Caenorhabditis elegans: one gene and its partners. The protein of the gene in region 1 interacts with the protein of each later gene in a pairwise test. Each region holds a gene or a part of one and is shown on either strand. Other genes may lie near its edges.

Region 1 (6,795 bases):
AAAAAAGCGCCGAGTGTGTAGCGCAGAAGTGATAGGCAAGATGGGGGTCTCATCTCTCTCGTCGGCTATGTCTCTTTTGTGAATCGTTTCAATCGGCATGAAGGGAGTATCAAGAGACGCAGACATTTAGATGAAAACTGCAGGAGAGATGGGAGGACGACAAAAAAAAAGAGTTATGGAGAAACGATTGGCCCCCTGCCACGGGCACGCGCTCTCTGTGCTGTGTTGCTGCTTGACGGAAGGAAAGAGGAGAGAAAAATGAAAAAAGAGAGAGAAAATAGGACTTTGTTTGTCTGAGACACTTCTAGCTTCATCAGGAATCAATTATTAACTGCCGCGGCATGAAAGAAAGTCATGACTCAGCATTCGCCATTCAGAGTTGATAGGAGAAACTTGCATTTTTATCGTTGATGTTTTGTGGAAGAATAGAATTCATTTTCTATAACTTATGAAAGGAAGTAAAACAAACTAAGCGAAAAAAAAACTAAATGGAAGGAAACGAGTGGGCTCAAAACCTGGTAAGAACTCTCCAGGGATTCATTTTGACCCAATTCAATCAGGAATTTGATTCGAAATAACCTTTTCGGAAGATAAAGCGAGATAAATAGGAAATAACTGGGAAAATGGATTTTTTCTAGAGTTTGAAAATTAGAAAACTCCAAGAAAAATTTAATACAGAAGGCTGGAATTGGCTAAAGAAACGATTTAGTTTAAAAAATAAATTGATCTACATTTTAGAAATGTTTAAAAATGGAGTTTTGTCACAGAGTTTTTTTTTTAAATTATCGAATATCAAAAAAAAATGTGCATTAAAAAATTTCCGCTCAATTTTTTCATAGAAGGTTTAAATTATTTTTGGACCGTCTCGCGAAATGGTTACTGTAACAATAAAAAATTTTCGATTTTTCTTTTAAATAATTGGTTTTTTATATAAAATTCCTGGTATTTTGTAACACATTATTTTATTAAATTTAATCTTTAAAAAATATTATCTTAAAAGTTGAAAAAAATTTTCGCGTTACAGTAACCATTTCGAGGGATAATAATAACAATCATTTAGCGTTTGTAAATTTTGCAAGGTCGAGGTAAAAATCCCACCACGAATCGGAAAATACAAAAGTATCAAAAATTCAAAACGACTGTTACCACCAAAACTGAAAAAAAACGATAAAAACCATGAAGTGCAACAACCGCCTTCATTTCTTCTTCTCCAAACGAAACATGAACAAACAGTAGCCAAATGGTTGGTTTTGTTAGGATTTCAGAGTGAGTGCCAGTAGACTTCCCTTGGCAAACAATGCGTGTGTTCTATTCTCAGCCATCTCCGGGGGGCAAACAGGGGGCGATTTTCGGATGAGACATCAAGGAGAAGCATCAACTAATGTAGACGTTGTGGTGCAAATACACTTAGAAGCCCTTTTTGGAGTAGAGAAAAAGGAAAAAAAGAAGAAAAGACGAGTTTCTCCATTTTTTGAGTTAAATGAGGCGAAGAGGAAGGGAAAAAAGTATTCAAATGACTGGATCTGCACCGATGAGCACAACACGTTAATGAAGTTCGAATAACGAATTAAAGGATATAGGATGCATGTCTTTTTAGTTCGACATAGAAAAAAGGAGTATACTTTTCTATTTTCCTTTTTGCAGTTGCGAACTATCATTTTTTGAGAGTAAATAAAATCTCGCGTCACTTTTTTCTTTTGCAAAATCTGAGATTCTCGCCCAAATCACAAATCCAGAGATTAAGAAAACGCGGAATTTTCGATGAAATGGAAAAGAGAAAAAAAAATCTCTCACAAATGAATTATTAGAGTTTGGAAAATTAATCGTTTTTATGTTACGATGAGATTTAATGCGGAATATGGAGCTAGCAAGTTCAATTCTGAAAGTCGCAAAGTAGAAAAGAACCTGCCGAAATTTTTTTGAAATCCATATAAAATTTTAATGAAAATCGATCTTTTGAACGAGCTCTTCTTGTCGTCCGCATTTCCATCTTAAATCTCAAATTTCGAAGCGTGTAATTCTACGCTTTTCTCTTCTTTCTAACGTCTTCAATTTCTTCATCTCCTCCTACTCATCATCTTCATCGACAAATAAACCAACGCGTACAATTACGGTTTTACGATTCCGAGGAGAAGAATGATGAGTGTTGCTCTTCTTTCATATCAAATTGGTTTTTTCTTCCATGCAGCTCTCCACGCAACAATAAAAACCGAACGAAAATGAGAGGAAATCCGACACAAAACACACCCAATTCCGAGGAAAATTGAAACATATGTGTTGTCGAATGAGTAAGAATTTTGAAAGAAGATTCAATTCGAGAAATAATGTCGGGAAATTCAGTTTGTCTCAGTTGCAAAAACTTCCGGGATATTGGAAACGTTCCGAGTGAGAATTTGGCCAATTGAACATATGAGTTTTATAATGTTCAATGCCTTTTTCAACTTATTTCCATGGTTTTTCAGATGTAAAATTCCAGATTTTCAGATTTCTGGTTCAGAATTGAATATCAGATTCTCAAATTTAAGGAAAAATTGGTAGTCGGAATTTTTGTTTTCATTTCCTGTTGAGTTCGCATTCATTCTATATAGAAGAAACTATAGATTCATCATGACAAAAAATGGTATTCAACAATTGTAACAGATGTATGAAGTTATTAGATAAAAAACTAATTAGTTTCTGAAAACTACTACTGAACACTTTAACTCCGGAAAAATTCAATTTCGATACTGTGAAACTACAATGAATCAATCTACATTCATTTTGAGAAACATAAATAATACACAAAGTACCTCACACCTCTGTCAGTCATTCACCCGGGTACACAACGGGATTTCAAAATAATAGTTTGTTGATGGAAAGCGGGTAGAAGATAGATCAACATCAATTATTAGTGTAAATCCTCGGGGTTCCCAAAGGAATACGTGTCAAAGTACAGTAAACTGTAGCTCAAGTCCGGAAAAAAGGAAAAATCTGGGTCATCTAGGCCAAACGCACGAAGAAAACTTCCGGAAGATGGATTCTTGTATTTGAACACTCCTTTTCGATTTTTCCTTGTTCGTTTAAAAGTTCTGATTTTCGGTTTGAAAAAAAAACATTGTTTTTCTCTCCAATCTCCGCTTGCACGCTGGAATGTCAATCAGACGACCAATTCAATTAATTCTATTAGATTTTAGATGTCTTAACTGGAAACTTTAGAAGAATGCAAATATATTCAATTTGGGGGACACTCAGATTACGGTAATTTGTAGTGGAACCTCGAAAATACAACTATTACCCAGTAGCGAAATTTTAGGATTTTTACGCCAAAAAATACGGTACCCAGTTTCGATTTTTTAAATAGTTTTTCTCATAATTAAAAAAAAACCTTTTTTTTAATTTGAGGTTAAAAAAAATTTTATCGAAAAATTTTGATGAAAATTACACAGCAAAGTTTAAAATTACAGTACTCTTTAAAGGCGCACACTTATTTGCATTTACCAAAAAATGTGTCGTTTCGAGACCGGGTATCGCATTTTGGGATACATACGAAATGTTCAAGTTGTGAACAGTTTTTTTCTACTAGCAGAAATTCAAATTTCGTTGAAAAACTACGATTCTAAGAGGTGTTCCGGTATAAACTAAATACGTCAATGAAGTGTCAATCTGCAAAAATCATCAAACCTTCAAGCTTAAAACACAAAGCACAATTTCTGGTTTAAAATTTGAATTTTTTCATTCAAATCAACCATTTTCATTGAGCTATTCAAACTTTCACACTTCCGTTTCTCTCTTTTCCAATTCAAAAACTACCAATCAACGTCACATCACTAATCTTTTCTTCCAGCACACACACACAGTACTCTGTCACGGTAGTCTTAATAGGCTAATAAAAGTACAAAGTTAGTGGTTTTGATGCAATACGCAACTTATTTTCCCGATAATGGGAGCACAATGGGCAAATCAACCCGATTACGTGCTATGTTCTGATTATTTGAACATTGTGCACTTTTTTGAAAACGTTTTGTGAATTTTGCAATTAAATTGAATGACTTAATTTTTTAATGTATTTTTACTTTCTAATTTAAATTCAATGTAGAAATTCAATGCAAAAATTTCAAATTTTCCAACTGACCAAAGAGCATTTTAATATTTTTCAGCTTCTAAAAATGCTTGTTTTTGTTTATTTTTCTCCAACTTTTTTTTTCATATTTTCTTATCATTCGTACCTTTCTATGTCCTGAACGAGTGTACTGCCATTTCTGTTGTCTGACGTGGTTGGTTGCTCCATTCGGTATGTTGCTCGAATTACGGTATGCCAATGATCCCGGAGCAGATTGTTGTTGTGTCGCTTGTGGATGCCCGTTCGATGGTGGTTTAGCATTTCTCGTTGTCGGCTGTGCGCACAAATTGTTAGGTATCCACGTTGGCATCATGTTTCGTGGTTCTGAAATTAAAGAATTATTAGTTTTATGAAGAAGAAGTTCTGGCAACGGATAAAAATATTTGAGAGTGTGAAATATTTCGTCGGAAAAGAAATTTCTGATATTGCAAAGGAACTTTTTTTGAAAATTCCCTCAATTTACCAAATTTAACTGTTAAAAAAAACTATAGATTTCTTTTTCTGAATTTTTAATGATTTTTTTCAATTTTGCAAAAATAAAAGAAACGGCTCCATGATTTTTTTTTTGATTTTTTTGTGAAGAAAACTTGACGACCTGAAATAAAATTTCGGAAACTTTAAAATCAGTTCAAAATTCGATTATTTAACTATTATTTCATTTTTTGTTTAAAAATGTATGAAAAGTGAAATTATAAAAATCCATGAATTTTGCCAGAAAGTGCAAAAATTCAAATTCCCTTCCGCCGATTTTGTATTTATATTTCAGCGAAATTGAATAAATCATTGAAAAATTAAACACTGTTTTTTTTTACAGATATATTCGGGACATAAGGCAAATTTTCGTATTTTCTAGCTCAATGGATACACTAAATAAAGGAAAAAAAATCGTATAGAACTTTTCCCGCAGTAAAAGTAAAACTGGCCAACTATGTAAAAACAGAAAATGCAGAAAATCTATTCGAAAGTTGTTTTTATGAATAAAAAGTCTATGAGTTTCTCCTCGTCAATTAATTAGCTTCGTCAGAAAATGCATAATATTGTTCCTGTTTTGAAGCCATTTATCTTTTGTATGGTTTCCCAAATCACTATGTTGAAGTAAAAAAGAGCAAAAATCATTTATGATGTCAGAGAAAGCTTTTTTCCGAACTTTAGAGACTCTAACTTGCAGTTTTTCAAAAAAAAAACTCCGAGTTTACTAGCAATTTCACTCCAAATTCTGCCTATTTTCCCTGTATTTTTTCATAACTCTCTCACCGCAGACCGATAATACAATCACCATTGTACACACACAACACTGTCTCATTCTTTTTGACCGCCCACCCAAAATGTTTAATATTTGTACGAGCGTTCTTCTTCATAATGCTGACTCATTTCATTTTCAACACTATTTTTCAGCTTTTTCTAACGAAATAATGACGGATTATGATGACTATGAAGACCGATCTGGTGTGGTAGAAGAAGAACTATTGGATTTTGATAGAGTACGTCTAGAATCAAATTTGGCAACAAATTTTCAAAATATTCAGGCAATGCTGGACTTTCAAGCTATGTTTCCCAGTCTAAGCAATTCACATATTGAATATGTTCTACGGAAATATGATGGAGATGTTTCAGCCACTATTAATGAGCTACTTTATGATAACGTATGTTAATTTTTTTGTTTATAGAAATTATTGCTTTACTACACGAGAAAGCACTGTCAGCGAGAATATTGTATCTCAATTGTTCAAATTTCGATCGATAAATTCCAAAAATAATTTCAGACGCCAACTACAACGACTTCTGAATCTATTCCACATGGAGGAGACTTAACAAAATTAAGGCAGCGAAGGCATGAAATAAACGAAAAACTGAGAGAAAATCAAAAATTTTTGGATACGGTTACAGATGTGGAAATTGCGAGGTAGAAAATAAAATTATTTATACACTGAAAATCGTGAGAAATAAATTTCAGAGCATATGAAGACCAACAACTGGCCTTATTACTTGAACACCGAGAAGTGAACACCCTTATCAGTGAGGAGAAAAAGAGTGAGCTTTTATTTTTGGGAAAATATGGGAAAAACAGGAGAAAATAAACACGTGGCGTCACAATTTCTTTCAGAAAAGTCATGTTCTGACTCATCTTCTATTCAAGAATCGCGCCGGCATGTGAAAATTCCCGGGAAAAATTCGAAAAATTCTAAAATTAGTGTGAACAAAGCGAAAAAATTGGAACCGAGACGACGATCGGACGAAGATCGTGTTCCAGATGGACCATACATCGGGGAGGGAGAAGTAAAATCGGAGAATTTCGCGGCGAAAATAAAGGAAACGTTGAGAAAAGGTGGGGTGGCCATGATTTATAGGGTCGCGAGACTATGTTTAGTTGATATTTCGATAAAACATCTGTGAAACCATTAAAAATCACAAATTTCCCGCAAAAAATCAAAGAGAAATAACGATTTTTGCAGAAAAAAACAAAGAAAATTAAAAAAAAATTTTTTTGAAAAATGAAAAGTCCGCAAATACGCGTGGCGGTGTTTGCGTATTTCACCAACTACCGTACCCAAATATTATTTTTTTCAGCTTCCGGATCACGAATTTCGAGATTATTTTCAGCACCATAATCTAAATTGTTATTTTTTCAGTTGTTAAATAAAAAGGAGACTCATAATGAATTCATTTTATTTTATCACATTGCAGATTGATCACAT
Region 2 (9,877 bases), on another chromosome or scaffold:
CAAGCAAGGAGCAAATTATTTCAAATCGAAGCATCGACATACTAATAATAAGTTGATTATTCCTACCGGCTAATTTTTTTTACTGTTTCATTCTCTTCCTAAAATAATTTGTCTAATAAATGTTGGATCTTGTTAGTGAAAAATGTGGAAAGTTGATGTTTCTTCTTTGATTCCTCAATCTTGCTTTTTTAGAAACCTTTAAATTTGGCAGTGGAAAACTTTAAATGAAATGGATGTCTCAAATAGTTTCCGGATTTAATATGTTGCATTCAAATATTTTTATTTAAGACTGTTTAATTTAGAACATTTTAAAAGTGTTTTTTACTATTTTTTGGTACTGTTGCAGTAACCATAATCAAGTATAACGATATGAAAACTTTCAAAACGAACTGCTCAGCCAGTCCACAAGCGGCATACTGTTAGTTTATTTCGGCAAATTTTGTCAGTTCAATTTGAAAATTTATTTATTAAAAAAGGATTAAGAACTCACCCAAGAGAATGCCCATCGTTTTTAGTGTTATTTCTAGTGTTATACCAAGTCAATTCAGATATTTCAAAAAATGCAACATTCTCTGATGTGCCTTCTTCTTTTCTTTGCTTTGCTCTCCAAAAATGACTAACGAGTGGAATGTTATCTTATCAAAAACTGCATCATTCAGCATTTGACAAGAGTTTCACTGGCGCTGAAATCAACATTTTCACTTCTCGACTCTTCCTAACTTTTTTTCTAAAATTGCTCATTACTTCTATAGATTAACTTTTTAGTTTTGATTTAGTTTGGGTCAACAAAAATGAGTAGTATTCGATACAGGAGACCACCAATCATAGAACGAAGATATGAAAGAACTCCATCATATTCGGTAACTTCAAGAATATTCGATTTCAGTAATAAAACTGTTTTCAGACGATTCCAAGGGATATTCATGTCTCATTCTACCATAATAACTATCACAGATCAAAGATTTTGTATTTGAATAAGTTCAACGCAATGGAAAAATTAATTGAAGCTGCACACGAATTGTATCCATCAAATGGTGTTTATCGTCTATTTTCGGGTGAGTTTTTTGAAATGAAAAAATATTTGTAATAATTTTTTAATAGATAGTACAATTGGTGCTCAAAACGAGTTGAATGATTCAGTGCAAGTTATGGAATGTGTTCAAAATCCTGATCATATTCTTCCACATCTACATATAAGACTGGAAGGTAAGATTTTACGGAAAACTTTTTAAAAAACAGTTCCATAGTCCTATTATAACAACCTTGTTAGTTCTTTGTTAGATAATCTTACAATTTGAAAATTCAATTATTCAAATTAAGTTTTTTTAAAAAAAGGAACAATGATCTTTCAAAGTATTTTTTATTTTCAAATTTTGAGAAATTTCAAGTTGTTTTGCAAAGGTGTGTTCTTATGTAACTCAAAACTAATAGTAACAAAATTTTTAAAAATTTAATTTTTCAGATTACCGTCCCAGAAGCATAAGCCGTAATTATCACGAAGTTAACGTTCCAATAATTCGAACTCCATCTCAACATTCAATCCATCAATCTGTTCGATTCAACGATAACAAACGTCATCACCATCATCATCATCATGATTCAATAAGAAACTTCGTCCATCATGACACTCCATGCCGAAACTGTTTCCGTATAATTGTTGGAAGCCGTTATCACTGTCTTCAATGTCCAGACTATGATATTTGTGGAGACTGTGAAAAAGATTTGGTTCACTACGAGCATGCTCTTCTACGAATTGTGACTCCAAGGGTTACAAGTATTCCTGATTATGTCACAGTTAACGCCCCAAGTTACATTTTCCCAGAACATCGTTATGATATCAAAAGAGAACATTATCATTGGTTTTAAATTGTATTTTATAGTTTTGTTGTTTTTCCTATTTATGTTGTGAACTTAGTTTTTCTGTCGGATTTCTGTCCTATCTTGTTATACTTAAAAAGACCAAAAAAGTTATGTAATTGCAGAAGTGCAAAAAACCAAGACGCATCCTCCATTCAATTTTAATTTCCTGAAATCTATCTCGCAAAAAAAAAAACAAAAAAAAAAATTCCCTCTTATTTTGAATTTTAAAATTAAATTTTTCTTGTGCTTTTCAGAAATCTGTTCCAATTGAATTTTCATTCCTATTGACTTGTAGGACTAGAATTAATAACACCGCGGACCACCTTTATTGAGAATTTCAAAAACATTTTGTAGGCCATGTTTCCAATTTTTAATTGTCTTAAAATTAACACAATGTTTCAAAATTTCTATTTTAATTGGCTCCATAGAACACTTTTCCATGTAATTAGAAAATGCCTACCTGCCTGACACCTAGAAAGTGACCAACGCTTACTGTGCATTGAAAGCATGCAAGTAGGCATTTTTGCATGCGTGGGAGGTTTCTACAACTCAGCCAAAGCAGTCTATTGTACCTACCCATTCCTTATTTATTCTTCCGCAATCACCAATGACGCGTTCATGATTTTTCACTTTTTCAAAAACAAAATTTGATTGTCACTGCCCTTATTAACTTTTGCCCACGCTTATTAAATTAGTTTCACTCCTGCAATTCAAATCCTACTAAAACCTCTCTGAAAATGTTATTTCTCCTTTTTGTTCAATAAAACTCAAATTTGAACATATTCTGATTCTGAGTTACACAAATATTTTCAGTCCCTTCAACCTATCATAAACTTTGATATTTGCTCAACATTTTGGAGAAAGCGATGAAGGAGTCAAAAACGGGCGGCCCCGTTGCATTCCTCCTCCAAACGCACCAAAAACTGATAAGATGTTGTTAAGAAGAAGAAGGCACCAAAGAAAGATTCTCTTATCACATTTTTTGGCAGAGAGGGAAAGAATTGCGCCTATTTCAGTTGATTGTTCACCCACCATTTACTACACTATTCCAACATTTTTATTGACTCTTTTCGTTGGAATTTTCCATCGAGTTCAAGGAATACTACTTCCACTCTACCTTTTCAAACTTCTTTGTTGTTTGCTTAATTTTTTCCTAACTTTTTCACGACTGAAATTACGAATTCTCAAGTTCAACTGTCCGTTGTACAAAATTCGAATACGATTTCAGCATGGGAGACCTACAAGTCGACTTGAATGCAGCACTTGTAGCCGTTAAACAGAAATGTGTGGACTTGGATGAACAAATTCGAAGAGAGAATGATGTAAGTTGTGTTCAAGATCCATAGAAAATGTAAATTTTCTGGTTTTTTCAGAGATCAGAAAATCGCGGACGTGGATATCTGGGAGTTCGTCGATACATCTATGCATTGACCACCAAGAAGAATGAGGTCTGTTTTTATTTTAAAAGTGTTTTTTTTTTGAAAGAGCTGGCATTAATTTTATTTTGGACTAATTTTTCAAAATTCCGCAATTCGCCTACGATATTTGCAACTCATTGCTCTACTTTGACAGCTCTCGGTTCACTTTGGGTTTATGTTATCAAAAAATTGCCAACTGACAAAATACGCGCATACTATTTTTTCTATATTTTGCTTATTAAACAACTGTTATAAAAGACAACCAAGATATAAATAAAGCAGTTTGGGTGCAAGTCTAATAGTGAAAATACGGTAAATGTGCACTTAACTTTTAATCATTTTTTCTGATTTAATTTCGATGTTTCACACAAAAACCACAAAACACAAAAGTTTAGTATTTTAGAGAAACTATGTTTTCCAAATTTCGACCTCAACTTTGACTCATTCTTAATCCCCTCCTACCTTCCAAAAATTTAATTAGTCATCATAATTGCGGATTGCAAATGCCACAGTGCGTAGTAAAATATCAAAATTTCGGCCGCAATCACTGATAACAGATGCCATTTCTTTTTGTTTAGAAGCATTGTGCAAGTGTCATAAAATGAGAAGGAAGTAGGCGATTCGGGGTGATGATGACGTGGCAAACATTGAAAGTATTTTCAGAACCATCTACAACGACGTGGGCGATCTTTGACAAGGGTGTACGTGGAACAAAAGTTTTACAGATCTGTGAGTTTTTGAAAATGAGAAAGTTGTTTTTGTTATTTTTGGGTTGGGTACAAATTCGTATCATTCTGAAGAACAGGTGTTATAATGCTTTGATAAATCGTTAATACGATATTGAACTTTTCAAGACTATTTTTGAAGACTATTTTAGAAGATGATTGTGCATTGTACATAGAATTACCAATGTGATAAACTGTATGTAAAAAAACTACCAGAAATGTTTTAATGCTTCATCTATTTTTTGTTTTTAAAAAAACAGCAAAAAAGGTTATTTCATAGTTCAATATTTATGAAACAAATAGTAAAAGAGTGCAAACATTTAGAATTAAAAAACAACAAAAATGCAGAAAATAAACGTTTTCGATATTTAAGTTTTTCAAATAAAATCAACGAAATAAATATTCATAATTCCTCCTTTCAGAAATCTGTACCATCTCCGGATCAAGTTCAACGCCTCGAGGATTGCACACAGGATTACGGACCAAATGATGAAGAACGCCTGGAATACGTGGAAACTGTTGATGCTCCATTGGAAGAGCTCATTAAAGAAGATCAGTCTCATCGCCATGTCGTCTCACAAAGACTTCCACAAGGGCACGGAGAATGGGATCATGAACTTGCAGTTTATGAAGAAGATGGTGGTTCTGGGCTTTTGGAGGATCGAACACTGACTGTGAGAGCTGGAGATCATCCTTTCGGAATGAATCAATTCAACGAAGTGGCAGAGGATATTAGTGCAAGAATCGCCAAGTTTTTTGCTGAGAAAGAAGAGAACCACATCAGAACTCGTGAGCTTTCTCTTTCAGTTCATCCAGTTTATCATCAAAGTAATGGAGATGCATACACTTCATTTGGAATGTCCAGGTCAAAATCAATGGGATCAGTTGCTCACGAAGCACATCAAACATCTAACAATCAACATAGTTCTGAAACTCATGGAACTGCTTCTTCAACTCAGTCACGACCACGTTTGGATCAAGTCTCTTCCACTACAAAGTCCTTAAGCAATTTGTTTAGTGTTGACACTCGTCATGACTACAATTCTCGATATGGAAATTATGTATCTGGATATGGACATTATGGAACACCACTTCCACCAGCGAAAAATCAAGAAGTAATGCCAAAAATGCCAGCGAAGAAGTCGGAGCACATTTATGATGAGCCAATTCATAGAACATCTACCACAAATGTGTATTCAAGCACTTATGAGAGAAAATATGACTTCAAGTGAGTACCAAATCTGTAATTGATTGCTAAACTTTTTTATAGAACAACATTCCCACCAGAAATCGAAATGCCAGAAGGATATCACGATTATTATGATCCGAGCAAGTTCATGTTCTTGGATGCAAAAGGTTATTATCAGGTGAGCAAAAAAAACTTGAATTGGAAGACAATTTTTGAATACTTGACTTGTAAATTTAATAGAACCAAATTATTCTCAGTCCATCCAATTTTTTTCAGGGCAACATCACTCGCCCACTTCACTATTCCTACTCTCGTGACTATCTAGAAAAGTACTCGGACTACGACGGAACATCACGACTTCCATCTCCAGCTCCTCCAAAGACCCCGGAGCCAGCATACACTGTGCTCAATAGATCAGAAGATCTCCCACATCACCCTACCCATTTGTCTTTCTCGTTCCCAGACTATTACGATCACGCCACTCAAATCATTCTCAGTCGTGATCCTGGACTTGAACATATTCCATATAAAATTGGGCCATTTGCTGATTACTATGACAATGTTCATCGTATCATTCTGTCGCATACCAAAGATTTGGATCATTGTAAAATTGTAATTCCGTCGTTCCCAGATTACTATGATCTGTCAACTAGATATGAAGTGCTTCATCGAGTTGAAGACATTCTTCATGAGCCAATTGTGATCGAGGAATATCCGGCATATTGTCCATATGAAGACACGAAATATGAAGTACAAGAGAAATCTGTGACATTGGACGATGAGCATATATACGAGGAAGTGTATGAACCTCCACTACCTCCACTTCCACCTCCAGCACCACCAATAGTTGTTCATGTTCTGAACTACACTAGAGATCACGATCACATTGTATTCGTCCCATTGCTTCCTTACATTCCACCACCACCTCCACCTCCAGCAGAGATTATTCACGTTGCAACTCCAGCTGAAGTAATTGAAGAAGAACCAGAGCCAGTTCCAGTGCCAGCTAAACGTCATTATGATGATCTTTATATCGGAAATGACGCTCTTGATGTATCAGTGTCTCCACATTTTAATCAATCCAATGATCAAAAGAATTTGGGATTAGAAAAGAGTGTCACTGATAGAGTTAGAGAAATGGAAAGAGCAATGAGAGGAGAAGAAAGGGAAAGACTTTTGGAAGAAGAAAAGCGAAGGAAATATCTGGAACTTCAGAATGAGATTAAGGCAGCACGGGAATACGAAGAAGAACATGCATATGAAGAGATTCAAGAAAGTGAGTTGACTTTTGATTGAATAATAAGTTAAGAAGCAACGATTCCGCCATAAAAGCAAAGTTGATACGTAGAATAGGTTGTATTCAAACGAAATATGAAATTTCCAATCGAATTATAGAAACTTCTACCCCATCTTCACCTTGTAAGATTAAATGTGATAAAAGGAAATTACCAAATCGTGAGTGTGTTGTAGAATTTGACTAGAAATGGAAGATGAAATAGATAATAGTAGTATAGATTTCCCTGCAATCTTCGGTGAAAATGACAGCTTTTTGAATGATATCAATAGCTAAAATTCCCATCATTCCCACCAAATTTTTACTGTTTCAGGCAAGAACACTCCTTGTCCAGTATCACAGCCTATTCTTATTCCATCGGTGTTTGTCCCAGTGGCAGTTCCAGAACCTATCCCGGAGAAACCGAAACGAACATGGCAGCCACCTCCAAAATCCGAAGAATTTTTGGACGAGCATATTGACAAGCCACTTGGCCCTGTCATTTTCCATGAGTTGATCTACCGCAACGGATTTTTGCTTAAAATGAATGAAGAAAATCATATTCTAAGTCAAACCCGTCCAGTCAGTCATCCAGTTTCTCGTGCCAACTCTCGACCAACGACGCCTGGATTAGAGATCAAAACTATCGATTTTCCACGTCTCGATGATGCCGCATCCCCAAGAGATCACTCTGATTCTGCTGGAAATGTTGATTATGTGCATAAACATATCGAACGGTACAATGCGAAGGATGGTAATGATCTGATTAAAACTGTTTATATCTAAGAAAGTGTATTTTCAGCCTCTGTTGTCCAAGATTCTCACGACGAGAGTCGAGCTCATTCGCATATGCTTTCAAATACCGTCCAAACTCATACACATTCTCAATTAATCAATCAGAATCAGGCGACTCATTATGATGCTTATGCTACTTCTCAACACTCGAATGCTCAAGAGTATTCAACTGTTCATGGATCACAAACTCATCGAGGAAGTGTAGTATATGATGAACCACATGGACAAGTTGTCTATGATATTCCACACGATCAAGGTAAAATATTTAAATTATAATTGAAAATATAAAATTTTCTGTTTCAGAACATCACCATTATGACACTGTTCACGTTCAACACCATCATCATCATCATTATCATACAGATGGCAGTGAACATGTTCATCACTATCATCAAGATGAAAATGCTCATCAACACAGTACAGCTGAAAATGAACATATTCATCACTATCACACAACATCAAATGAAAATGCTCACCATCATCACTCGGTTCAAAATGAGAAAGATATTCAATATCAGCTGGCTCAAAGCAACCAATCGATTCGACAAATGAGCAAGACCAACAACTGGGATGAACAAAATATTCAATCATCAAAGAGAGCTCACATTGAGGCACACATTCCGGTTAACTCACCATTTGTGAAAAGAGAAGATTCAAGAGTTAGCACCACTTCTCATGTGAGCACAGCTTCAACTGCAACTACCACGGGAACTGTTGTTCAGTGCTCGAACTCGTTGAATCGCCAAAATATTCCAGCTCCATTGAAAATTCAAAACGGAAACTCAGAGTCCTATCACGGTATGACATGTTTCAAAGAGGTGTTTCTATAAATCTCGTAATTTCAGAACACAATCATCACCAGCATGTGCATTTTGACAGTGTTGAAAATTCGGAAAACATTGCTCATCAATGTAAATCAACAACTTCCTTGGACTACCAGCCAGTTCATGTCGGACATGTCAAAAATTTGGCAAAACTTTTCAAGTTCGTAGATTCTTTTTAATTTCTAGATTTTAATTCTCGAATTCCAGTAAGCCCGACGAGAAGCCACTGACAACTGAGCAAGTGATCTACCGTGTCAGTGCTGCACCACCTGGTCATCACTTGGAACCAGGTATTTGACATTTCGTCAGCTGATTCTTTTTAGTTTCAAAATAATATTCAGAGATTAAACCTCGTCCACGTTCTTTGCCCCGCATTCCACTTGATGAGATTGAACTCCATGAGCATGGAAGTAAAGATCATATGACACGTCATCATCATGAAATGCACCAGGGTACTGTAGATGAGCACAGTGAACATGGTTATTCTATTGGTGGTGGTGCACAAAGGATTGATGTTTCAGCAAGAAGTAAGTTTGAAAAATCTAAAAGAATTATCACCATCCGCTGAACGTCTAATAATAAATATTTCTACAATCAGAATTTTCAGCTTCATCAACAGTGATGCACTCTCCACCTGTCCAAGTTCAACACAACTCATACTATCATCGTCAGTCATCAGACGAGGAGTCAATCCGTGTTCGTCGTGTCTACAAGGCCCTAGATGACACTTCAATGCTCTCTCCGGTCTCCTTGTCCGGCGATGGACCAAATTTTTAAATTCCGAATAAGAAACAATTTCATCTCCGTTGATTTCATTGCCTCTAGACTTTCAAATTGATTCAACAATTCTTAATCTTCCGATTTCGGTCAGAAAATACCTGTCATTTTCAATTTTTGTTTGTATTCCTAACATTTTCTAATAAACTTAACTGTGAAGTCCAGCCCCGCCAAGAATAACGAGCATTTCCTTATGAGGCCCAGGGGGAACATTCAGAACTTGACACTCGAAATTACAATGCAATGAGGGCCGTAAGATTATCTTTTCAGAAAATATATTTTTGAACCAATTTCCAGTTTAATGACCATAGATCATTGCATGCCACTCACCGAAAATTGAAATTTGGCAACAAACATTTTGGATCTTCCAACAAAAAAAAATGCATACACTTGTTCATATTTTTTGCAATGTCCAACGTATCCCTTATGACTAACGTGAAATGTTTATATAAATACATTGTTAGTGTCATAGTCTCTACGCCTTTCTTTTCTTTCTCTGTTTTTTCTCTGCGTCTCTTCATCCCATCCACTATTTTCTCACCTCTAACTCTTCCGGGGGCCCCGTCAACAACGGCCGCCTCCTACCCGGTCGCTGGCGCGCTCTCTTTCTCGTATCTTTTTGTTCTCAATTTCTCAAAATCTCTCTATATTTACCCAGTGCTTCTTAACTTTTTTGTCACACGTCTCTCCACAACGAGGAACAGCCGCAGAACAGAAACAGAAACATACGCGTGCGCGCGCGCCTCTTTCTCTCCGTCGGTCTGCCTGAAAATGAGAGGATGCGGGGGGCTTCTCTGTTCCTCTAACTTCCTGCGTTTCTTCATTTGTTGTCTATCTCTCATTTTTGGGTCGCTTCATTCTCTCTTAGTTCCTCTGTGAGGGAGGCTTGATGAATTGAGTGCATTCTCTCTTTCTCTCATTACGAAAAGGGCATTATCCTTTCGAGCTTCATCTTATTGTCTTTTTCCTTAAAAAATTACCTAAGTGGCCCTTTAACTTCTAGATAGACCTTGGAT
Region 3 (7,027 bases), on another chromosome or scaffold:
CGAAAAAACAATTAAAATACATAACTTTCTAATAATCGATTAAAAATCCATGGAAACCGAAATTTTCAAGTTAGAGTACAGTACTCTTTAAAGGCGCACACCCGTTTGTATCAAAGAAAACAATTTCGTGTCGAGACCGGGTACCGTAATTTCAGCGCAATGATCACAAAATTGCACGTCAGGATAACATTATTACAGTTTTAAAACGTTTCAGCCTCCACTTCATACGAAAAGTCTTTCCGTTGTTCAAACGGATCGAATTGCAGCACCAGCTGTCAGATCTTCATCAATTTCCAACAAACCATTGTCATATCAAACCAGTGGAAATTCAAATGAGGTAAACCTAGATTTATGATCAATTTGAAAGAAAATATTGGTTCTTTCTTTATAGGAGGATCACTTGAGACTTCCACAACACTCATCATCATCGGAATCGCCACCATCTGAAGGTCCATCGAATAGTGGATTGTTCCGATGGTCATCAAAGGATAAACCGATGACCAGTACTGTCAGCACTGCTAATGGTGTCCGTCTCCCTCCACTGAGCCTACGCCGTCGTACTAACAGTGATCCGAAAAATCGCGATTTCACATCACTGGGCGGCGATGAGTAATACAACTAAATGTGGCAAAGCTTCTTCATTGTTTGAATAATGAAAAACGAATACAAACAACTTTGAAATCAAAACATTAAAACTTACAACATTTCGTTCAATAAAGTATCATCAAAAGAAGAAAACAAAAGCTGAACATGAGAATTTGGGATAAGGAGCAGCAGATCGGAATTATGTGAGAAGCACGCGGAAAACAGGGATATATAAACGGGGTAAACGGGAAAATTTAAGCGTGGCAATCATCTCCTCCAAGTGGCTCTTGCTTGTCAAGTTTGATGAGGTCATCAATACGCAATATCGTAATGGCTGCCTCAGTGGCGAACTTCAGAGACTTGACCTTACTAAGAGCTGGCTCCAAAATTCCAGCCTCCTTGTTATCGCGGATCGTGCCTTCTTCGAGATCCAAACCAGCCCTAAAAAAAGAGTGAATAAACTGACTCAAATTCAGAAAACATGAATTAGACGCTTTTTCTAAGCACAAAACGAAATTTTTTGAAATAAATTATTTTAATTTTATTACATTAAGCTAACATGTAATAACCTACTCTTTAAAAAAAACATTTTCACTTACCACTTGAGGTGTTGAAGTTGTGGGATCAATTGAGCTTTGGAGTGGTACGCGCGGAGTTTTGTCACTAAATCAGTAGAATCTCTTGCAGCATTGCTTGCCAAAACCTTCGGAATGATGAGAAGCGCTGAAGCGAATTCAGCAACAGCAAGCTGCTCGCGAGAAGACAAGGTTTGTGCATAAGTTTCAAGGAAAAGACTGAGAGAAGTCTCAACAGCACCTCCTCCAGCCACAAGTTTCTTGCTTTCCAGAACTCTACGAACAACACAGAGTGAGTCGTGAACCGATCTCTCCATTTCATCGAGCATCACATCGTTCGCTCCACGGAGGATAATGCTGCTGGCAGTACGAGATTTCGGTCCCTTGATGAGAATGAGCTCGTCGTCACTAATTCTTTCTTGAACAATTTCATCGGCATGTCCAAGAAGCGAGGCATCGAAAGCTTCATCTCCTTCCAAAGTAGCCAAGGAAACAGTCAATGTGGCTCCAGTAGCTTTGGCAATTCTCTTCAAGTCTGATTTCTTGCATCGACGAACAGCCATAGCTCCAGATTCGACAAATTGCTTCAAGCACAAATCATCGATACCTCCAGTTGTAAGAACAACGTTGGCTCCGGCTTTCAAAATTTTATCAATGCGGCGTTTGGTAATATCGAATTCTCTGAAAATTCCATAGCTTAAAAAGAAACGAATAGTTTCAACTCACTCTCTGCGAATAGCCTCAAGCTTGGCTGGATCTTCAACAACGACTGAAATACCGAGGTGCATCTTAGCCTTCATCAAAGAGAAATCGAGACATGCGATCTTGGCATTTTGAACACGAAGTGGCATGGCCTGACTGGCAACTGTGCAATTGAGTGCATATCCTTTCACCAAAACTGATTCGCGAGCGCTCTTTCCGTGGGCCTTCAGAACATTGACTGCATTGATAGGATAAGTGACTTTCCCGTTATTTTCCACACGAACAGCTTCCGCGGCATCAACAACCAGCTCTCCGAAGAAATCGGCGTCTCTGAAAAATCAATTTTCTTGAAGCATAGACAACACCAAACTCACGGTCCGATAATCTTACTGCTCATGGAAGTTTTGGCAGCGTTGACAACTGATTGTCTACCAATCGAGTCGGAAGTGAATGAGATGTTTTCACTAATGTACTTGACGGCTTCCTTGCACGCGAGACGGTAACCATTGATAATAGTCGTCGGATGAACTTTTTGTTTCACAAGCTCATCGGCTCTCTTCAAGAGCTCAGCCGCCACAATAACGACAGAAGTAGTTCCATCTCCGACCTCCTCGTCTTGCAGCTGTGCAAGTTCTACAAGCACTTTTCCAGCCGGATGCTCAACCTCGAGTTGTTTCAGAATTGTGGCTCCGTCATTTGTGACAATGACATCTCCAACATCATCGACAAGCATTTTATCAAGTCCGACAGGGCCAAGAGATGACTTCACAATATTGGCGATCGCAACTGCCGCGGTGACTGCAATTAATTAATGTATACTTATATTGAGCTTTCGGTGTTACCATTCTGAGATCTGATGCCTTGTCCAGTAGTTCTTTTACCGGTGAGGGCAAGAATGGAATCTCCAGCTGATGCCATTACCTGAAACACAACCGTATTAACTTAGCAATAGAGTAGGACATTCGATATTGAGTCAAAAAGGGGCTTTGAATAAGCACTCAAAAATAAAAATATACGTAAAAATGAAAATATTTCAGTAAAAATAAAAATGCTTCCAGAAAATCGGGGATCCCTTGAATTCTGAATCAAAATTAAAATTCTTGTAGAATATTCTCAGAGCGCATCGTACTTCATGCATGCTAGAAGGGTAATCGTGCCGAGACCCAACACCAGCTGTCACTAGGGCGTATTTGCAACATTGTTCCCACCCGCGATTTATTGCCGATAAATTAAAAATAAAATTGTTTCCGCTAGTCCTTTGCAAACAAATTTGTTTTTTTTGTTTCCTCTTGTAATTTTTATAAATATTTTATTGGTCTATAATTTAAAATATTGAATTCAGATTTCTAACATTTATGGAGCCGCCATGCACATCAGACTGCAGCCAGATAAAAGTAAGAATTTTGATCAGAATTGTTTTTTATTAAGCCAGTGATTAAACAGAAATAATTTTCTTCCAGGTCTTCTACTATCTCGACGATGAAACGACTCCCTATGTTTCTGTTATTGAAGCCAGAGAAGGAGTAGCGACGCTTGGAAATTTCAAAAATTCATTCACCAAGCGTGGATATAAGTATTATGCGAAGGAACTTGACCCGGATATTCAACGGTGAGTTTTGGCTTTTTTAATTTTTGTAATTATTCTGTACTGAAAAATGTTCAGAGAAGTTAAAGTCGAATTAACAACTGATTCGGATCGGCTGCGCAAATCCCAGAATGGATTTTATGAGATTTTTCTCGTTAGCACTCCAGGATATGGAACTCTTCCTCGAAACAGTGGAACAATGACGCGACCACAGAGAACTGCTCTAGATAAGGTTCGATTTCTGTTATTTTCAAAAAAAACTGATATTTTAAGCGCCGCCGACGAAGTGCAGACTTTGACGCGACTCCGTACTCTGATGCTAGTCTTGCTCCGAGCACCATTGTTAGCAGTGAGTTTTTGCTATTTATGTACTCTTAAAAACCTGTATGAACGTTTTTCAGGAAGAGCAGGAGAGCATCTGGCAGAATTATACACTTCAAATTCAGAGGATCCGTATCAATATGACGAGCATACACGTCGAACAGGAGATGATTCTTCGCTCTACGAACCTCTCGCTGCTCGTGATATGAATAAGATATACGATGACGATAGAAGAAGGAAAAAACAAAAGAAAGAAAGATTCAGAAGACCGTATGTTCCAAGTACTATTAGCTCAGCGACGGAATCAAGTGTTAACAGCGGCCTCCCTCGAATTCTGGAAATTTATCTACCAATGAAAAATGTTCCATATCTGGGACTGAGCGTGTGCACAATTGATGGTCATATATTCGTTTCCGAAATTGCACCAGAAGGTGCCGTTGAAAAAGATGGACGTGTGAACGTTGGTGATCAGATTCTTCAAGTTAATAGAGTATCCTTTGAAGAACTCAGTGGGCCTCAAGCAGTTCGTTCGCTCAGAGAAGCTGCATCCTCCAAAAGGTATTTTTCTACGCATTAGCATTAATTTTTTTTAATTTTTAGACCAATTACTCTTTATATCAGTAAGTTTGCAAGAGGTGCCCCAAGTGAATATGATGATCCACTCGCGTCCATGGCGTCTGAAACGATGCCCCTCGACGTTGGAGTTTGGGTAGAAACCGCTGTGTAAGGGTACCTCGCAAGATTTATTTTCTTAATTTGATACTTACAGGCAGAACACTGAAAAAATGAAAGCTCTGGGTTTGGATCCACAGGAGCAAACGGCAACTACAATTGATGACGGAACTCTTCCATTTACATCGACAGCTTCTGATGATGAGGAGCGAATGCTTTACGATCAACGTAGAAATGGAATTCCAAGAGCTTTGATTGAAGAAGCAGAAAGAAAACGAGAAAATGAGCAAAATGAAAAAATAGAGCAACTCACAGAAATGATTGATCCCATTATTGTTGTTCGTTCTATGGCTCGTCCGGATTCAGGATTAGCTGTCAAAAATCGAAAATGGCTGAAAATTTTGGTTCCAATGTCTTTTATTGGTGAGTACTGAACATTCAAGTATTAGGATCCAAACAATCAACGTTTAGGCCGAGATCTAGTCGATTGGCTCGTTGATCACATGGCTGATATTCATAATCGGAAGAAAGCTAGAATCTATGCTGCGAGATTGTTAGCTGCTGGTCTTATCAGACATGTCGTCAGCAAGTTGACATTCACAGAAAAGTGCTACTATGTATTCGGTGATGGAATTCTTGGCAATGATCGTAATTCCACGGACACCACTGGTACGAGTGGAACTACAATGCGAGTTGAAGCAACTACTGAAGTGACGTATGTTGGCTCACCAGCACCACATGCTCTGGCAGCACGAGTTGGAAGAAATATTCCTCATCGATTAGAAACCACTACTCTAAGCCCAGTTGCTCATGACCAAACATGGCTTCGAAGACGTCGAGATTGTGAGAGTCCTATGACAAATGATTACGCATCGATGGTCGGAGAAAGCCAAATTGGAATGAATCCAGTCGGAAATTATCATGTTTTTGGGACGAAAAATAATCACCGTCAGGTACCGGCACCTTCTCAAGTGACATCCTCAAGCTTGACAAACGGTGAGAAAATTAATCGTTTCTATAGGGTGCAGGAGTTAAATTTGAAGCAAATATTCATTTCAATTGATATAGTATTTGCTGTTTCTTGACTACTGTACCCTTTGTATCCAAATGACTTTTCACATAACAGTATTTCCCCAACCAAATTAGTTACAAATTCCAGGAAGTGGTGGCTTAGGAGGCCCTCCGCCGACTCCTCTATCCAGTACTATGGTTCTAGCAGCTTCTCCGATTCAGTCGCAGAACGCAGTCAACCACGATTTCGACGGGGAGAACAGTAGCAACAGCAGAACGCGTATTTTACGGACTTAAAATTTAAAACTCATTGCCTTTACCGATTCTCGCCTTAATTCCCACATGCTTTATTAATATTTAAAACTATGCCCTGTTTTCATGTATTTCAGTAAGACTAACGTTTTCATTCATTCATGTAATTTTGAGTCTATTTATGAATTATTTTAAATTTCTTCATGACGATGTTCACTTCGAAAAACGATGTGTGATGAAGAAGACTTGGACAGCACCGAAGATAGTTTTAGACATCCATTCCGAGTAGTATGCAGTATCCTTCGTAGTATCCCAGGAGCACATGTTGGCCGTGCAAATTGCAAGATTATCGGTTTTTGCAGAAATAGTACAATGAACCAAAAACTTTTTGCTTCCATTGAGCTTCACTAAATTATCCGAAATTGTTTGGATCATCTTGCTCATCCAATCAGACATTTTGAATGGAGAATATGGAGTTTTACCAATTATTGAATCAAATGATTTTTGAATAATTAAATCAATTTCTTGTTCTTCGGCATTTGAATAGACTTTCTTTTTGAGTTTCTTATTTTTCTTTTCAATCAATTGTCTCAAAAGCTGAGCGTTTTTTGATTCAATTTGCCGCTTTGCTACAGAAGAAGTTGTAGAAGTGTCTAAAATTTCAAATGATGTTGCATAATGTGACAAAGAAAACTAACCTGTCATTTTGAAACAAGGAATGAATGAAATAATTAAAGTTATGCGATAAACATTTGTTTTCTAAATTTGATATATATATTAGAATCTGGTATAAATTTTTTTAACAGTGCGTGTAATTAGAACACGCTCTGAAGGCGAAGTGTTTAGTGCCAATTCAAAATATTACTTACAATTAGACCCGAAAATTTTGCGCTTTTTGTGCCAAAAACACGGTACCTGGTCTCGACACGAAACATTGTTTTTAAATGCAAAAAGGTGTGGGCACAGCATCTCCGACCGGGAGCGAAAAAATTAATTTTATTATAAAATGTGTTGTTAAGTTTTTGTTTTGTTTCCGCGGCTCTGTACCAGATTTTACACTAAAAGTGCACCAGTTTGGAGCACCGGACACACAGAAATTGTGTAATGTTGATGGCGTTCCGTATCCGAAATTGACATGTTTGCAGGGGTCGGTTGAGCTAACAAAGGTGGGTGGTGGAAGACGGAAATACGGTTCGAAGGAATAGTGGGGGGAAAGCTGACTGATTAGCTTGCCATCAGTGATTTACGGAAAATGTTCTGCTTCCTACTATGATTTCCTCATAATTTGAAATTTCATTAACTCTTAAATGTTTACTTAAATGTG
Region 4 (5,859 bases), on another chromosome or scaffold:
TATTTGATAGTATCTCAAGAAAGAATGGGAAACTAAGCAAGACCTTGAACTAATCGTCATTTGAAGAGAACTTTAGCATAGTACGTTTTCAAACGAAAACCACAATTTCTCAATACTGCCTTCCCATCACAAACGAAAATTTTATCCTATAGGATTAAAACCAATTTTCAGTAGAACTACAACAAGATTCTGAAAAGTGCACTCAATGCTTTCACGAATGGGCTACAGCACAAGATGATAACTGTATGAAATAATCATGTAATGCACGATATCAGGCCATTTCAATTGGTCTTTTGCGGCGATTTATCACTGGTGATAATTGGAAGTTGGACAGATAAAAGTATAAGATTGAAAAGATTGAACCAACAGAGATTAATAAAATAACAAAAGTCGGAGATGATAGGCAACTCAGCAGCAAATTTAATTTAATTTTCAAAAAAAAAATTCATGTAGTATAATTTTCATTAAAAAAAATGGTTAGCAAGGAAAATGAAATGATTATGTTTCTTCGTCTTCAATAACTTCCAGCTTAATTTGACTTGTCAACTTTTTCAAATGTTTATCCGTAGCCTCGACTTGTCCATGCCATGCGTGCAGTTTGTTGGCCCATTCATCACTGATTCGAGGTTTCACTTCAACTACGCTGGCCGATTTTCTGTTCTTCTTGTTCGCAGGCGATGTGAATGATTCGTCACTGAATAATTTAATAATTTTTAATTGAAGAAAAAAACAAAAATCTTCACTTACATTTGGGAAGCAGTTATCGGAGCAGAAGTTTGTGGGATTTGTTCTCGTTTCACTTCAACCAATTTCGCATTTGCACGTTTTGGTGCCCGAATTCTTGCAACTCCCGATGTTCCCTGCTTGCCTACTTTACCGCCCAATGAATCTTCAGGTATTTCAGGCTTTATTCTGGCAGCATACTCATTTCGTAGAACTTCTTCAGCCAATGCATTATCGTCTAATAACTCTTCAGGATTAACTGTTGTCGTTTTTCTGCGTCGCCGTTGTCTTACAGGGCGATCAATCGGGCTGTAAAAATAGGTTATTATTTTGGGGTTAAACTGTAATTGCTTACATTGGAACCTGAGCATCATTATCATCCAAACATTCCTGGGCGATGTCACCAAACGTTCTTGCGGTAAGATGTTTGAAGTTTTCTGCAAAAGTTGAACGCTGACTTTTGAAAAAAAAAAACATATTTTCGTGTAATAAATGTACCTTCCATGTTTGGATCAAGATGCCTTCTTTGTCTAGTGTGTTTTAGTCCTTCAGCATATGCTTTACTTCTCAAAGTTGATCTGCTTGAACCAGCTGTTTCCTCTGGAGCGCTACTAATTTCTGGATTTGTTGGAGAACTTTCGAACTGTTCTTTATATTTTTCGACAATGCCCTTGATTTCGTGTAATGGTGATTTGAGCCCCGTTAGAGTATCACTTAGTCCAAGTTTTTGCTTAGCCTCTGTGTAAACTCCGTGAATAAATGATAATTCCGTCATAATATCAGAACTGAGCATTTTCGTAACACTGGAAAACGGCTCCTGAAACTGTTTATGAAAAAATTCCAATAATTTAACTTACTTACAACTGGAATTTTGTTAAAATAGGGCAACTCTTCCTCGGCAAGGTATTTTTTGTGGGTTGCCGGATCATATGTCGACTGAAACACTTTAATTCTAAACGCTTTCTTCAGAATAAGCATTTTGAGAGCCGCAATTGGTTCAAGAAGTTTTTCGACTTCTAAAGATTTTTGAAATTCGAGAAGCTCTTCGAATTGTACCGCAGTGACCGGAATCTGAATTAAATTTTTTAAAACTAAATTAAACTTAGAATTAATCACCTGACAGACATGATCAACTGGCTGCAAATTGTACAACGCATAGCAAACATAAACTCCGAATAGCCTCTCCTGAAAATATAACATTTCAGACTTATTTTTACTTCTATTTCAAACCTTGAATGCCCTGAATGCTCCAACTTCATTCACTTTTCCGAAATACATTGCTGCGTGTTGTAACAGGTATTCAGTAAACTGAAAGCCGGAATATTATAATAGACTAAATAAAATCAAAATAAAGCTACCTCTAAGCATTCGGCAGGATTTAATCGATAATGAAGAATGGTCTCAAAATGCATATCCCGAAAAACATCAGCAAAGTCTCGAATTCTTAATTAATCAAGATTTTCCATCAAATAATACATTTTCTAACTATACCTGTTGGATCCCATAGATATAAACTTGTTGCACAATAAATGAAGATCTTGTTTAACTCCAGTTCCCATAAATGGCGTGGGAATACCTCCAGAAGCCATTGCGACTCGTTTTTTCCTTGAATCTTCAGAAATAAATCCGAAAATAATTGACGAAAATAAAAACATGCAAGTGCGCTCTATCGTGAACAACCAATTCTCGGCGGGAACCAGCGGTATTCAACGCATTTCAAAATGAGTTGCGCCTCAATTTACCTAAAAATATTGTTTTTCAATCGTTTTGATATAATTTAGCTCAAAATATTCCCATAAAATTAGTTTAAATATATTCGCAATCAATTTTACGCTTTATTAAAACATCAAAAGCTATAGATCTGCGTGAAACGTTCTTATAAATCGTGTTGCCGTGAAAAATATTCTACTGATCGTTTTCTATCGAAACATTTTCATGTTTTCAGAAGAATCGAACTTCAATCAGTATGCCTGACGACGAGGAGAAGCTCCAATTACTTGCTGTAACGTTTTATCATTTCATCTATTACCAACTAAACCTAATATTTCAGGACGTTGAGAGGCTCAAGAAAATTCTCCGTCAAAAAGATGAAATGCTCGAGGAGATGGAAGACGATCTCAAAAATCAGGGAAAACCTTGTTCTTCCAAACTTTCACTCGAAGAACGTGCACAAGAATTGAGTGAACAACTTCGCGATCTTCATGTTGAGATGGACGGAAAAAACGCCACAATTCTTGATCGGGACGCTCTCATCGATTCACTGCGTAGTGAGATCGACAAACTCGAAAAAATTGTAGGTTTTCATCATTGTGGGCAACATTAATATATTGAATTCTCAGAATAAGGAGTTTGCCAACGGATCAGTGATTCCCGAACATGATGATTCCAATTCCTTCGGAGAATCTGAAATGCTTCGTATTAGCGAAGATTGTCAGAAATACAAAGAGACGGCGACTGCTCTTTACGAACGAAACGCCGAACTCGAAAAAGAAGCGGTCAACTTGAAAGATGAAATTGAGTCGATGATGGATCATATTCGGGACCTCAAAAATCATATGGAGACGCGTGATGAGGAAATTGCCAGATTGGAAGGAGAGCTTTTTGATGAGAGAAACTCCCATGAAGGAAAATTAGCGGCACGCGGAAATTCAATGTTTTCTGAGGTAGGTTAAAAAATATCAATTAACTGCATTTTTTTTAATATTCTTCAGGTTATTGATGCCGAGCGGAAGGTTGAAGAAGACCTGAAAGTTCTTCATGGAGAGAATCGAGCACTGAAAGGGATGGTAAAACGTCTTCGAATGGAAGTAGAAGAAGTCGAAGAAAGACTTCGGTCATCCACAAAAAGATTCAACGTTACCCGAATGACCACAAGTGATATTGATGTCAAAGAGATGCGTCGTCTCAGAGACAGAGTTTGTCACCTGGAAACGGAAAGGGTTCATTTGTGGGAAAGAATGTTCATTAAAATGAGGTCAATTCCAAAACGCGAAGTGGGAGCGTTGATTACCGGCTACTTCAAGTCGTTCGAATTGTCAATTGCGAGCGTGAAAGGAGGTTTTGACGGTTTGATGAAGGACAACGAAAAGTACGTGACAATTATTCGTGGATTGCAACAGGAAGTAGAAAATCTCAAAGCGGACATTGTGCAACTACAATTCGACAATAAATGTGCTCACAGAAAAGCTGCACCAGTTGTCAATAAGGATTTCGAGCACCCGCTTCTTGCTGCTCCTCTGAAAACTCTTAACAATGGACGACCATCATTCTTCATTAAACCGAAAAACGTGGAACCCATGCCTCAATTAGGGCATTCATTATCCAGTATTGCCGTTACGCCACAGGTAGATAAAAGTGCAACTTTTCACTATAAATAATTATTTTTCCAGAAACCAGCAGCTAAATTCACCACTCGTTCCTCCATCAAAGATGATACTTCAGAATGGGCAGAACGTCGTATGAAAGCTCAAGCTGAAAAGAAATTGGCGACTCCGACGCCGCGTTACAACTATATCAAACTGTCCGAGCCCGTTCCAAAATTCAAACCGGCTGTTCTTCAAATGCCATCAACCTCAGAAACAAAGGAAAACTGAGTAAACATCATGTTCGTAGTCATCTCGTATTCATATAAAACCGCCTGTATTGATCTCGTCCCCTCTATTCACCAAGTTTTGTCGATTATTCTACAATGTTTCCTATTTAATGCATGTCAAATAAAATTATTTTTATTATAACGCTCATTCTTAGATTGTTGATGTTCAAGAACTTGATAGAGCCGCTGGCGGGAGTGCAGTGGAGCGCGAAACCCTATCGATATTACACGATCACTTATTGATTTATATATTTTTAATATTTATTATTGTAAATATGGGGTAGAATATAGAAAAATATTTTCCAGATTTTCTCTTCCCTACAATCTTCGGAGATCTCGTATGGATATGCTTTCGATATAGGTTCAGTTCTTACTACTAGTAACATTTGAGAGAGCTTAAAATTTAAAAATTGTAAACCGTTCGAATTTGTTCTGGTGTGGGGTTCGCATGATATTGATCGTTTTTAATATTTACGATGATTTTTTGTGTTGTGCGAGGGTGTTTTAAAATTTGAATTTGCCGCCGAATGAAGTAGAACAAGAACGCAAATGCGCTCTGTGGCGAATGGTGTTCGACAAAAAGTTTTTAAGATCATTTTCTCAGCAAAATTTCGTTTCCTTTCTAATTTTTCCATTTCAGACATCACATTTCGTCCGGAAAGCAGATGCCGAAGAAGAACAATACAAAACGAGCACCACCAAGGTATTTTTATAACATTTTGATAAAAATAATTATCTAATATTTCGTTTAGTGTACCAAAGCCGTCCGGTCCGCCACCTCGATTACTTCAACTGACATCCTCAGATGGACATTTGTTGCAGGGAGACATCCGGGCCCTCCTCCTCTCAAGTACACTTGCTGCAACCATCAGAGAGCTAGGATATGACAAGGAATACTGTGCTGAATTAAAACCGGTACCTGTGAACAATGTTGTTGGATTTACATTAAAATTACTGATTGAATGGTGCGATAAACACAAAGAAGATGATCCTGCAATTGCACTGGCCGAGAAGGACAAGAAAAATATTTGCATTCCTTCCTGGGATAGACATTTTCTCAGTAGACTGCCAATGTCAAATTTGTTCGATCTGATTACTGCTGCATATCATTTGGACGTTACCGGACTTATCAATTACGGCTGCAAAACAGTTGCCAATTCTGCGAAAGGAAAAAATGCCGAGGAAATGCGAGAACTTTTCGGAATACCTGAACCATGGGAACAACCATCTACATCGACTGCTACATGGGATGATTAATTTTCTGTTACTATCTTCGATCTTCAAATATTTCAATTGCACAAAACCGGTATTATGGAAACAATCATTTCAGCCATGTCAAATTGCAATCGAGTTATTCTTTGAATACTATTTTTGTTTGTTATTTATTATATCTTTAAAATTGCATAGGATCGCTCAATGAAAATTACTTTATAAAAAATCACATTTGTATGTAGTTGAAATCATGGAAAAACAAGAAAATGAGTACTAGATGTTGCCATCAATAGAGGTTTTCCTAGGCGTCGGAAGTTTTCATCGCAATCATA

The links.
Region 2: the proteins of mpk-1 (region 1) and ifo-1 interact in a two-hybrid assay, tested with the Caenorhabditis elegans proteins (3 studies listed by BioGRID).
Region 3: the proteins of mpk-1 (region 1) and mig-5 interact in a two-hybrid assay, tested with the Caenorhabditis elegans proteins (3 studies listed by BioGRID).
Region 4: the proteins of mpk-1 (region 1) and spdl-1 interact in a two-hybrid assay, tested with the Caenorhabditis elegans proteins (4 studies listed by BioGRID).

What each region holds. Positions count from the first base shown.
Region 1 is NC_003281.10:4,223,686-4,230,480, forward strand, and holds the start of mpk-1 (Mitogen-activated protein kinase mpk-1), read right to left. Parts: upstream 4,410-6,795; coding exon 4,206-4,409; intron 1-4,205. Other genes in the region: F43C1.5 (uncharacterized protein), read left to right, coding at 5,512-5,580, 5,626-5,742, 5,863-6,002, 6,054-6,130, 6,204-6,425, 6,668-6,708. UniProt on the Caenorhabditis elegans protein: Functions in let-60 Ras signaling pathway; acts downstream of lin-45 raf kinase, but before the lin-1 gene product in controlling vulval cell differentiation. Plays a negative role in proximal germline proliferation in the mitotic zone.
Region 2 is NC_003282.8:7,319,875-7,329,751, reverse strand, and holds ifo-1 (Intermediate Filament Organize), read left to right. Parts: upstream 1-3,088; 5' UTR 3,089-3,089; coding exon 3,090-3,182; intron 3,183-3,233; coding exon 3,234-3,308; intron 3,309-3,941; coding exon 3,942-4,007; intron 4,008-4,425; coding exon 4,426-5,231; intron 5,232-5,273; coding exon 5,274-5,370; intron 5,371-5,468; coding exon 5,469-6,468; intron 6,469-6,799; coding exon 6,800-7,219; intron 7,220-7,267; coding exon 7,268-7,516; intron 7,517-7,563; coding exon 7,564-8,058; intron 8,059-8,105; coding exon 8,106-8,244; intron 8,245-8,291; coding exon 8,292-8,374; intron 8,375-8,425; coding exon 8,426-8,611; intron 8,612-8,691; coding exon 8,692-8,861; 3' UTR 8,862-9,018; downstream 9,019-9,877. Other genes in the region: ocr-4 (Ion transport domain-containing protein), read left to right, coding at 1-73; sqst-2 (ZZ-type domain-containing protein), read left to right, coding at 792-860, 905-1,055, 1,102-1,206, 1,463-1,866.
Region 3 is NC_003280.10:8,181,199-8,188,225, reverse strand, and holds mig-5 (Segment polarity protein dishevelled homolog mig-5), read left to right. Parts: upstream 1-3,202; 5' UTR 3,203-3,217; coding exon 3,218-3,256; intron 3,257-3,322; coding exon 3,323-3,471; intron 3,472-3,525; coding exon 3,526-3,679; intron 3,680-3,720; coding exon 3,721-3,796; intron 3,797-3,848; coding exon 3,849-4,326; intron 4,327-4,368; coding exon 4,369-4,491; intron 4,492-4,537; coding exon 4,538-4,863; intron 4,864-4,911; coding exon 4,912-5,436; intron 5,437-5,586; coding exon of another isoform or gene 5,587-5,599; coding exon 5,600-5,748; 3' UTR 5,749-5,903; downstream 5,904-7,027. Other genes in the region: T05C12.8 (ANK_REP_REGION domain-containing protein), read left to right, coding at 215-337, 392-613; cct-1 (T-complex protein 1 subunit alpha), read right to left, coding at 840-1,026, 1,185-1,841, 1,887-2,192, 2,237-2,660, 2,705-2,780; dylt-3 (DYnein Light chain (Tctex type)), read right to left, coding at 5,917-6,356, 6,402-6,408. UniProt on the Caenorhabditis elegans protein: Plays a role in the signal transduction pathways mediated by multiple Wnt genes. Functions redundantly with other dishevelled family members throughout development.
Region 4 is NC_003280.10:7,778,898-7,784,756, forward strand, and holds spdl-1 (Spindly-like protein spdl-1), read left to right. Parts: upstream 1-2,668; 5' UTR 2,669-2,689; coding exon 2,690-2,725; intron 2,726-2,773; coding exon 2,774-3,016; intron 3,017-3,062; coding exon 3,063-3,386; intron 3,387-3,434; coding exon 3,435-4,067; intron 4,068-4,112; coding exon 4,113-4,316; 3' UTR 4,317-4,454; downstream 4,455-5,859. Other genes in the region: snpc-1.1 (snRNA-activating protein complex subunit 1), read right to left, coding at 499-694, 748-1,032, 1,079-1,160, 1,222-1,540, 1,585-1,794, 1,840-1,908, 1,954-2,031, 2,082-2,166 and 1 more; skr-17 (Skp1-related protein), read left to right, coding at 4,981-5,018, 5,068-5,572. UniProt on the Caenorhabditis elegans protein: Transient kinetochore component required for chromosome and spindle pole alignment and chromosome segregation during mitosis.